Alligator mississippiensis: one gene and its partners. Each later gene encodes a partner of the first gene's protein in a complex. Links are inferred from orthologs where the notes say so. Each region holds a gene or a part of one and is shown in the gene's direction. Other genes may lie near its edges. The genes, in order: CTNNA1, CDH26 and CTNND1.

What was found.
Region 2: CTNNA1 (region 1) and CDH26 share a complex: the UniProt entries of both Homo sapiens proteins name them as parts of the cadherin:catenin adhesion complex. The link is inferred for Alligator mississippiensis from reciprocal best matches to the Homo sapiens genes CTNNA1 and CDH26.
Region 3: CTNNA1 (region 1) and CTNND1 share a complex: the UniProt entries of both Homo sapiens proteins name them as parts of the cadherin:catenin adhesion complex. The link is inferred for Alligator mississippiensis from reciprocal best matches to the Homo sapiens genes CTNNA1 and CTNND1.

Annotation. Positions count from the first base shown.
Region 1 is NC_081832.1:45,892,275-45,896,019, reverse strand, and holds the start of CTNNA1 (catenin alpha-1), read left to right. Parts: upstream 1-1,050; 5' UTR 1,051-1,135; intron 1,136-3,745. UniProt on the Homo sapiens protein: Associates with the cytoplasmic domain of a variety of cadherins. The association of catenins to cadherins produces a complex which is linked to the actin filament network, and which seems to be of primary importance for cadherins cell-adhesion properties.
Region 2 is NC_081832.1:7,416,607-7,420,351, reverse strand, and holds the start of CDH26 (cadherin-like protein 26), read left to right. Parts: upstream 1-1,100; 5' UTR 1,101-1,107; coding exon 1,108-1,170; intron 1,171-3,745. UniProt on the Homo sapiens protein: Cadherins are calcium-dependent cell adhesion proteins. They preferentially interact with themselves in a homophilic manner in connecting cells; cadherins may thus contribute to the sorting of heterogeneous cell types.
Region 3 is NC_081825.1:172,458,598-172,462,342, reverse strand, and holds the start of CTNND1 (catenin delta-1), read left to right. Parts: upstream 1-1,009; 5' UTR 1,010-1,149; exon of another isoform or gene 1,150-1,444; 5' UTR 1,445-1,524; intron 1,525-3,745. UniProt on the Homo sapiens protein: Key regulator of cell-cell adhesion that associates with and regulates the cell adhesion properties of both C-, E- and N-cadherins, being critical for their surface stability.

The DNA of each region.
Region 1 (3,745 bases):
CTGGAGCGCGCTGGAGTCCGGGGCTCCTGTGCACCCTGCGGCTGGGAGTGGCAGCTGATCTGCCCTGGTTCCCTGCCTCAGGGACACGTTGCCCTTAGCTGCGATGTGTCTGAGCTGGGCGTGGCAGGCAGCTGAGCAGCACTCCCGGCCTCCTGAGCGCACAGGAGTTGAGGGCTTCCAAGGCTTTTTTTTTTTTTTTTTTAAGAAATTTGTTGTGTTCCAGCCAAATCAAGTCCAAATCCATGAGTTGGTCCAGAACCATAAGTGGCCCTGCGACTAGCAAACATCCTCCACCCCCATCTGGGGCTTCAGATATTTCCAGAGTTGTTTGGCAGGCATCCTATGTGCAGGCCCAAGCCTGGAGGCACGGGGTTAGGATGTCCCCAAATTTTGCCTGCCCTCAGCCATGCATCTGCAGGAGCAAGCTAGGGAGGAGCCTCCCATTTCCATAAACTGGTCTTTAAGCCCCAGCACCTCGGAGGGTACTAAACCACACCACAACAAGTTATCCCCCCGAGCGCTTGGGGGAAACTGCCTTCACCGACCTGACCCAGGTGTTTCCCCCGCCAGGTAAGCAGGCCTGCTGAGGAGGGCCATTGAGCTGGGCCACATGGGCGGTTTAGGGCCCAACGGGAACCAGCCACAAGGTGAACAGGACAACTGAGCTGGGGTGGTAAGGTTGCGGTTCACTCTGTGGTGCCACTGACACGGGCCCGGTTACTGCAGGACTCGAGTCCCGGGTAGCCGGCTCGCTGTTGTCAGCGCCGTCTGCCCAGAGCCACCGCTTCGCAGGAGCAGAGGAGCCCCGCGCCGGCCGGTCCCGTCCAGTCCAGTCCCGTCCAGTCCCGCCTGCCGAGAAGCGTCGGGGCGCGAGCTGGAGTCCGAGCCCGCCGCCGCCGGGACCTGCGGGACGGGACCCGCCCCGCCCCGCCCTCACCTGTGCGGGGGGCGGTGCGGGGAAGAGCCAGGGGCCGGCGGGGCGGTGCTGGGAACAGCCGGCCGGGCCGCGGGGGGAGGTGCCCGGAAGAGCCCGCTTCCTCCCCTCTGGCTTGGGACGGGCGCGGCGGGCGGACAAAGCGGCGCCGGGACAGACGCACGGACGGACAGCGCGGACCGCGCACCGCACCGACCGCAGGTAACTCCCGGCCCGGCCCGGTTCCGCCTCTTAGAAACTTTTCCTGCTGCCGCCCCCGCCCCGTGCGCCCCCTCCTCGGCAGGTCCCCTCCGCTGGGCCGGGCCGGGCCGGGGCCGGGGCGCTCGGGACCCGCTCCCAAAGTTTGCAAAGTGCCGAGCGGGCGCGGCGGGAGACCCGGGGGGCCCGGCTGTCCCGGGCAGGCGGGCGGGGCCGGCGCCGCCGGACGCGGAGAACAATGGCCGCGCCCGCTGCTGCCCTGTGGCTGCCGAGGCCCCGGGCCGGGCCAAGGGGGTGCGGGCGTTGCTTGGGTCGGCCGCGAGAGGGGCCGGGCGGCCCCCCCCCCCCCCGCAAGCGGCGGGAGGCGCGGGGGTGGGGCGGCGCTGACGTCACTGCCGTTCCCCGCGGCGATGCCCCCCCACCCCACCCCACCCCACCCCACCCCCCCCGCCCGGGCGGCCCCTTCCCCGCCCCCCCCCCGCGCGGACTGTGACGCGTCCTCCGGCTCCCTGCGCGACTGCACGGACTTCGGAGCCGCCCTTCCCCAGCCCCTCCCCCGAGGGGTGTTTCCCCCATAATCAGCGTGAGGAAGAAAGCCCCTTGCATGCAAGGAAACCTCCTCACCTACATTGTCGGCAGCTTTTTGGGCAGTGCTAAAAAGGCCTGAGCCCGGGACTTGTAAGGTGTGGCAGGGGCCCGATCCTTGTCGTGACAGCGGGGCCACGGCCCCTTCTCTGCCTTCCACCTTGCGGGGCGGGGGGTGCCAGGGAAAATGCCTTCACATGCCATGCTCTGGCACCGGTGCTGGGGATTGCCATCTTGAACTATCATGTGCTCAGCACTTTGCTCCCGCAGCTGAGCTGTGCCTTTCTTTACTGTTTCCAATGATTCCTGTTTCTTCACTAGCCTCAAATGTCTGGCAAATGCCACCAAACTGGGAAGGAGCAAACAGGTCACGCAGGATCCCTCTGTTACGCCCCCTCTTTCCCCAGCACCATTTTTAAGTGCTAGGACATTGATCCCCTGATTGAACAGCCTGCAGCTCTGTCCCGCTCCCCGCCCCAGCTCCAGGGTCCCATTCACTGCCCTGGTTGGGCAGCGCCCCCTGCCCCACTCTCTCCCTCCCTGTGGGGGCCTCGATCTGCCCCTGCCCTTCCCCTCCACAAACTTACCTGCACAGAGCTGCTCTCCAGGCTGCCCGGCTGTGCTCCTGTAAATGGGTTATTGGATCAGTATTGGCTGATATGCCTGATGAATAATCAGCTATGGGTATCGGCCAAGAAAATCTTTATTGGTGCACCCCTTCCTTCCATAAGAAAGGAATTTGAGAAATTAAGCAGGAGTAATTACACTGGGTATAATTTCAATTCAGGTTAAAATTCTACCTAAATAAATTTTCAATTTGTAGACTCTGGCAATGTTTGGGTTTTTTTGTTTGTTTGTTTGTTTTTATAAAAAGCAATTTCGCCATAAGCTTCAAGGGAAGCATTTCAGTAACTGAATCAGGCAAAAAAAATGTCTAAATTATCATTTCCTTCACTTAATTTTATCAGACCTGTGAAATGTTTATGAATTCATTGTCATTTACAGATATCAAACAGCATCTCAAAGTTCATAGAAGGGAAACTAAATAGTTCATAATGAGCCTGTTTATTCTGCGTACTTCAAAAGTTTAACACTGACCATAAAAACTGCAAGACATTTTCTTAAATGTTTTAGTTAGGGAGATGAGTCCTAATTTTTAAGCCATGCTGTGTGTTTTTCCCTACCACTTTAAACCTTTGATCTCTGCTCCAGAAGTTTTGAAAAATAACTGAAAAGGTAGAACTACCATATTTACTAAAATGTAAGATAACTGGGGATAGATGAAACTCATCTCAATAATTAGTTCTTCTTGGGGAAAGGGGATGAGCAGAGGGATAGAAGAATTTGCATATGGGTTATTTTAGACTAGGCAAACACAGAGAAGTGTGAGGAAATTTAAGAAGCTTCTGATAAGTGCATGGACAGCATGATGCCAAATGCAGTTCCTTATGGATAGTTCTTTTTAAAGAACGTTGGAGAGAGATTTTTATCTATTTGTGCACCATAGAGCTTGACTTGTTTAGGCTCATTGCCCTCTAAAACTTTAAACTTTAGTGGCAACCCAATTTAAAAAAATACAAATGGATTACAAATATTGTAATTATTAAAATAAGTGTAATGATAACTGTTAATAGAGTCTTAATTTATTAGATCATTATTCACTCCACTGCTGCTGCAGCCATGTGGAACTGTGCTGTATGCCCTCTGCAGAGCCAGATTGGGAAGCAGCTATGGCAGGAACTTGTGGTCTTGCTGCAGCTCTTCCGAGTCTGACCCTGCATGGTGTCTCCTGGAAACAGATGTGTGGGGCAAGTGAAACTGTCTGCCTTTATTATGTAACACAGACAGTGTGTCTTTCTGCTGCAGCTACTTCTCAGTTTAGCTCTGAGATGCCTCCTAGACAACAGGTGCATGGGGCAATTTCATCCCAAGTCACTGTCAGTGTTGTAGTACCCGTGGGAGGTTCTTGCAGCATCCTATAGTGCCACAATACCCCAGTTGAGGAACACTGTTATAATATGTATTATA
Region 2 (3,745 bases), about 38 Mb from region 1:
CCCAGACACTGAAAGCGGGTATCTGTCAAGCAACCTGGCGGTACTTATCTGGCAGGGGAGGTACCATAGTATTAGTCCAGGGGGTTTTCTGCTGTGATCCCCTTCTTCCTGACCTCTGAATGACTATGTGTAGTAGAGAGTGGAGACCTCTGTCCTTGCACTGCAGGCAGGCCCCCCTAGGAGAGAGCTCAGCTTCACACCGATTTTATGAAGATGGGGGATTTGCCCCTAACTTGCTCGTTCAGACTGTTGGTTAAAGGCAAATGACATGCAGCATCCAAACCCCAAGACCTCCATACTTGGTCCTGCACGTAGGCTGCCTGCCACGGCTTTGGAAGTATCTGAAGCTTCAGGCTGAAAGGTCTGGGAAAGAGGAGACTTGCTGGTGGTAGTGCCACATGGATTTGAACAACTGAGGTCAGCTCAGTCGATAGGATTTGGAACCGATTTGGCTAATTTATCCTGGAATACAACATTCAAACAAAAAGTACCACTACCATGGACAGGAGTCCCCTGTGGTTCAGTGGTAGAATCCTTGTCGACCAGACAGGAGACCTGGGTTAATTCCCAGATGCTTATACAACTACAGCCAAACATCTGGACTCAGTCTGGTCTTCGGGCTCTGTCTGAGTGGCCTAAAGGGAGGACGGAAAGTCTGCGCAGCCTCCGCTCCTCCAAAACATTCCTGCCCAGGCGTATGCGTCGAAGGTCTGCGTGACCCTCAGGCATACACCACGATCCAGGAGGATCAGTGGTTGCCACCACCACGGACAGGCTGTCCAGAGGTAACATTTGCTTCCCTAGCACCTCAGGTTTGGATGCAATAAAGCCAGTGGTCAAGAACAAAGCCAGTGGCTGGAGAAGGTGAGGGCAGACCCCAGCCTTTACCGCGGCTCAGGGGAGACTGGAGGGGAGCCCAGGGCCAGGTTGGGTGCAAGGAGCCAAGCTCGTGCCTCGCGCAGGAGAGGCCGGTGGGCGGGCAAGGAGCGGGGCGGGCGGGGCGGCGGCGATGCGGGGGCAGGGGCAGGGGCGGGGGAGGCTCCAGCGCCGCTCCCATAAAGGGAGCCGAGCCGCGGAGAGCCGGCTGCCATGGGGCGCTGCGCCGCGATGCTGCCGCCGCCGCCGCTGCTGCTGCTGCTGGTTCTGCTGCTGGTTCTGCTGCCGCTGGCGGTAGGTGCGGGCGCGTCCCCGGGGCGTGCAAGGGCAAGTGCAAGTGCACGTGCACGGGCGTGGGCGCGTTGCGATGGGAGGGTTGCACGCGAGATGCCTTCTTGCCCGTGGATGGGGAGCCCGATCCCCTGCTCCCCTTGCACTGGCAAGAGGCAGGGGTCACCGCCGCCGGGACCTGGAGGCACCTGGGTCCCGGGGCCTCGTTTCTGAGCCTGGGATCCTGGCAGCCAGGACCCCGCGCCCTGCGCTTTCATATGATTGCCCTTGTCCCATCAACCAGTTAATTGCATGATCCTTGTAGAGGGGGCTTGGGGTGCCAGTTTCCTTTGGTCTACTTGACTTCAGACTCCCCCGGCTCACTAGTCCCTTCTCCCCATCACTACTCCCCGCTCCCCATTACTAGTCCCCGCTTCCCGTCACTAGCCCTCTCTCCCCGTCACTAGTCCCTGCTTCCTGTCACTAGTCCCCTCCCCCGTCACTAGTCCCTGCTCCCTATCACTAGTCCCCTCTCCCCGTCACTAGTTTTCTCTCCCCGTCACTAGTTTTCTCTCCCCATCACTAGTCCCCTCTCCCCATCACTAGTCCCCTCTCTCCGTCACTAGTCCCTGCTCCCTATCACTAGTCCCTGCTCCCTGTCACTAGTCTCCTCTCCCCATCGCTAGTCTCCTCTCCCCATCACTAGTCCCTGCTCCCTTTCACTAGTCCCTGCTCCCCGTCACTAGTCCCAGCTCCCTGTCACTAGTCCCCTCCCCCCGTCACTAGTCCCTGCTCCCTATCACTAGTCCCCTCTCCCTGTCACTAGTTTTCTCTCCCCATCACTAGTCCCCTCTCTCCGTCACTAGTCCCTGCTCCCTATCACTAGTCCCTGCTCCCTGTCACTAGTCTCCTCTCCCCATCGCTAGTCTCCTCTCCCCATCACTAGTCTCCTCTCCCCATCACTAGTCCCTGCTCCCTTTCACTAGTCCCTGCTCCCCGTCACTAGTCCCAGCTCCCTGTCACTAGTCTCCTCTCTGCGCTTTGGAGCTCCTGGCTGCGCAGAGGCATCAGGCTTGCTTCACCCTCTTGGAAGAGGGCTATATCCTTTATAGCCAGAGTCCCTTCCTGCCTTGTAAGGTGAATGAGCATCACGAAATTACTACCGTGGTGTGAAGGAGTCTCAGTCATGGGCTAGGGCTCCATTGTGCCTGGTGCTGCATGAACAGCAGAACAAAAGGATGCCATGGAGATCCTGTAGTCCAAATATAAAATGATGGGGAGAGGGGAATATAGACAGACCGACATGTGAGTGCAAGGAAACCAGTTAAGCTATGTTGATCAGTATGATAGGCAGTGGTCTTTGCATCTGTGGTCTAGGTATTAAAGTTGTGGTCCATCCTCACTGAGGTTTGTGCATTTGCTTCACTCAAAGTCTTTCTCCAGGATCCAGCTTCTAGACAGGTGCAGGGAGAGGCCATAAACTTGACTGTTAAATAGGCAGGTTTTGGGCGGCACGGGGGGGTGTTATTCCTTCCATTATGACCTGTTAGAGTAAAAGCTGTATCGAGTAGGAGCCTCATTTAAGGATTTGCTGGTATGCTTGTCCTGCACAGCAGATGCTTGGGACAGACTCCCATCGCGCTGTACAGCTGAAGTGGTAGTTGTGCAGCTGCCTAACTCCTGTTTTTGGCACTCCTGCACCAATTTGGACTCCACAAACCTCCATGCAGTGAACTAGATGCACCCTGCTCACCTGTACGGGCGCTTGCTAGTAAAACCGAAGGACACAGTGGGTCCTTCTGTGTTTTAGTTCAATGCCTTAAACCAGAGCTTTCCAAACTGTGTGCCGCGACACATTAGTGTGTCGGCGGCAGTGTGTAGGTGTGTCGCGCGAAATGCAGAAAATTTTGCGGAGGGGCACTGCGGAGCTCCCTTACTCGCGTCTGCTTCCCTTGGCCCCTCCCCCGGAACTGAATTACTGTGTCGCGAAATGATGCATGTCTAAAAAGTGTGTCACCAACATGAAAAGTTTGGAAAGCTCTGCCTTAAACACTGAAGTACTTGTTCAGGGAGCAGCAGATCCAGGTTTTAAGCTCCCTTCGCTCAGAGGGGGATTGAACCCTGTATTTTTTGCTTATCAGCAAGTAATTCTTATCAGCAGATCAAAGGTTTGGCATTATCCAGACCCTCCTCCAGGGAACCTCCAAAATGAATTGATCTTGATAAACAAGTCACTCGGTCTCTTGAAGTAAGGGGCTCCGTTCTGTTGGACTGGCCTCAAGTTAAGAATATATCTACCTTAGTGTCCCTGAAGCTTTGTCCAAATACAGTTTCTCCTATTATCCCAAGCATGTGCCATTTTGGCCTACTGTGCCCCCGTAAGCTATGTGCTATGGCAAAATGTTAAGCCCCTTGAAAGGGGAGCTAAGAAGTCTAAAAGACAACTTCAGTCTCTGGCAGAGTTTATCATATTGGCCTGATTGCCCTCCCCAGAGTGTAGCTGGCTTAGCAAGTGAAGAAAATAGTGGGTCAGTGTCTCCAATCCAAACTCCAGTGACATGGAGGATGATAGGAGCTGTATCTTCAGTACAAACTGCAG
Region 3 (3,745 bases), on another chromosome or scaffold:
AGTCCTTCCCAGCAACTCCCACACTTAGCTAAGTGCTATCACATAGCACTAGTTCTCTCACAGGTTGGCACTCTTAGAAATGTAATCAAAGCAAACATCCTTCACAGCCACAATGCAAAAGTTTAGAGCATTTTTCTCCCTCTCTGTATTAATTGGTGGTTTGTAAATGTAATTTACAAGCTGTGAAGTGTATTGAATTAGTAATAGAAATTGTATTGAATTATACAATACAATACAGTAATACAAACTGTACTGAATTAGAAATACAAATCAAAGGAGCTCTCTTCTTCACTGTTTTTTAGGAGAAAGCAGGGAGTGAAAATTCCTAATCTGCTTTACCCAAAAATCAGTGTGCTTAATTGCTAGCAAAAACCTCTGGTTGAAATAAAACAGGAAACCACCCCTCAACCAAGATTTGATGGCAACTCTCACAATCTGGGCTCATATAGATAAATGTAGTCTAATCAAGGTTGCATTTCAAATCTCAGCCTCTCTTATCGGTTGATTATAAGCATGTTTCCCAACCCTCCTTTTTGCAATTCCCGTTCTCCTTTTGGGGTGCAAAGGAGGGAGGAGAGCACAGGAAACAACTACAAATATGTATTTGAGTTTGCCAACACAGAGAGAGGAGTGAAAGAAGGGAAAGAAAAGACAAATGAAGAGTGCTGGTAGCTGAGCCACATCTATACCCTAATGATTATCTTTTCAAGTTTGCTTTGTCTTTTCTCGCAGCTATTTTTTATTTCCTGCTCTGATTTTGTTTTCAGTTGTCTTCACCCAAAAAAGTTATTTTTCTGTCCCTTCTTACTCTCTCGCGCGCCCCTCTCCACCTTTCCTTTTTTGTTTTTTTTCCTCATTTTTTCCCCCTTTTTTTTTTTTTTTTTTTTTTTTTTAATTCCTAGACTAAAGTTTCCTATTGGATGTTTTCGGGTCCCTGATTGATGCCTGCTTCCCATTGGAGCTTTGCAGAAGCTGACATCACTTAGGGAAAGAGGGGTTGGGTTGGCAAGCTTAGTTTGTCACCACCCAGCTTGCTTTGCCTTTGGCTGGGTGCAACTTCCATTTTAGGTGTTGGATCTTGAAAGAAGGGGAAAGAAAAAAAAACCGCCAGAGAGAAAGAAAGAAGAGAAGATCCCAGGCAAGGGAGAGGTGGAAGAAGAGATTGCCGCTTTGCTCTTTTTAAATTCATTTGATCAGGGATTGGGCTCTCGTTTTCCTGTTAGGGATTTCTTGGGAAACTCGACTTTAGAGTTCTTTGGTGTGGCTTTTTTTTGTGGTGCGTGTGTTTGTAAAGGGCGAAAAGAAGGCTTCCACCCAGGGTCTTTTTTTGTTGTTGTTGTTGGATATTGTCATGCTGAGATATTAAAGAGAGGAGGCAGAGGAATAACCCGGCTGACAACTTCTCCCCCTCCCTCTTTCCATTTCTTAATCTGCTGCTTTGAAGAGCGGGGGAAAAAGATACAAGGAGGAGAAACCAACTTGGAGACTCTTGTTGGTGCAACTTTGAGAGGGGAGAAAGCCAGGGTAAGACTAGTTTCTTTCTTTTCGTTCTTTTATTGTTTTAAATGATGGTGGTGGCTGCTGTTGGTTTTTTAACTATTTCTGTTCTGGGGAGGTGAGTGTATCTGATGCAAACTAATACACAACTCCTGGACTGCGGTGTTGCAAGAGGGCTGATTTTATTTATATATCTATATTTATATATAGATATCCCCTATGTTTCCTAGGGGAAGGAATTCAGTCATGTTTAAAAAGGAAGCTTCAAGTTTGTTTGCACTAAGTAGGATATTTCTTTTAAAACTTTGGGAAAACTGAGAATTTCAGGGTGTGTTTTTTGTTGTTGTGTTTTGTTTTGTTTTTTTTGTTGTTTTTTTTTTAACTTGGTCAGGTCTCTCTTTTCAAGTATTCTCACTGGGAGTGTGGTTAAGCTGCTTTCTCCAGTACATTTTTTAGACCCACACTTTCTGCATGGGTGGATCCCTTTTTTCTTCCAGGTATAGTTGGGTGGGGACCTTTCTCTTAACCTTCTAAAAAGAATCCATGTTGAAGGAGAACTTCCCTCTTGATTTTTTCCTTTTTTTTCTGGGGGGGGAGGAGAGGAGGGTGAAATAAATGCAGGAGGTTTTTCCCTACCAGCCCCTTCAAGGATTCCAAGCTCTGATTGACAACTTGCTTGTTGACTTGCTCGCTCTTTCCCCCCTCCAAAAAAAAAAAAAACTTTACTGTTTTTGAAGTGTGTGGTAACTTAAGCACAGTACATTTTTTTTTCTTCCTTTAAATTCTTTCAAAAGATCATATACATTTGGTAAATGGGATGCATCAAAATAGCTTGGTAAGCAAACAGGCTTGAGTCAGTAATGTAGGAATGCAATGTAGTAAGATTTAGATGGCATTTAAAAGAACATCTACTTATACTCCCCGTAACCTGCCTTGAGCTCTTGTAGTTTTGTCTGGCATGGTGCTGTGATTTGGACTTGTTGGGTTTTGCTAAGAATGTTATATGAAAGCAACACACTAGGGTTTAGGATCCCCTGGTAGTGATAGTATGGGGTCTTTTTTCCCACCTCTCTAAATTTTGTAATTTCACCATAAAAAAGAGAAGTATCTAGTTTCAGTTTAATTGTGGCAGGCTAGGGTAGGGAACTAGACTGTGCTTCTGTATTCAGAATCATTACAGGGAATGCAGTGTGTGCTTAATGTAACAGTTCTGGAAATATGGTATGCTTTCTTTTCTCGCTTTGCTGTGCTAAGATGGTAATGCCTTATCTTAGATGACTAGATTTCATAGCCAGAGATTCTTGGAGGGGTGTGTGTAGGGGGGGATTTTTCTAGGTGAAGAAAACTAGGTCCTGGACCCCTTAAGACCCTTGTCTTATTCTGTATAATTAAACACCTGCCTCATTTCCCCCCAGCAAGGTCTTGGATATAGCAGAACAAGGAAAACGTTGTCCTACTTCAAGCAAATGTTTCTAGGGCTATTTGGGAGTGGTCCCTTTCAGTCCTGGGTTATGCTTTGGCATCTGTGGGGAAAGACCATCGAAGGCACTCTGAAAAGTAGTTTCAGAAGGATTGTGTCTTGTGGTAAAGGAGCAGCACAGTGTTGAGAGGCTTGGCTTGGGGTCTCAGCCTTTCAGTTTGCTTTGTATTGCTGTCTAACCCCCCCCCAGTTCCTCACCTCCCATGTCAGACATTTGACTGGGTTCTGGCGTGTCACTACTTTGAGCGAGGCATGAACTAGGAGGCTTTTCCCTCCTGCCCCCAAAACAAAGGAAGTTTGTGTGCCAGCCTCGCAGCTCTCTTGCAAGGGAATGAGAGAGTATAGCTCATCAGACAGGCATTTAGCATTAGAACAAGGGTTGTCTGGTGTTACAGACAGCGTCCTGTCTTTCTTCCCTGCTCTCTCATCATAATATTCCCTTTGTGTCAGAGGAGGGGGTAGGGGAGGTTTCTTATGTGTTGGGAGCAGGGAGTATTTTGGTTATGCAGATCTTTGGGGGCTTCTGAGCAAGGAAGGGGGTGGCTAGGGCCGAGTATCCTGAACTTTAAATCTTTTTTTTTCTGTGATGCTCAGGATCTTAATCTGTGTGGGAAGGACGAAGGGATCGGCTTTGTGCATTTGCAAGGGGGAACTCCACGTAGACCAGGCTTAACAATTTTAGCTCTGCCCTGGCTAGCTTATCTCTCTTCCTACTCTGTCTCCTGCTGTCTAATTTGCCTCCTCTTCCTTTGTTCTTTCAGGGAAGTG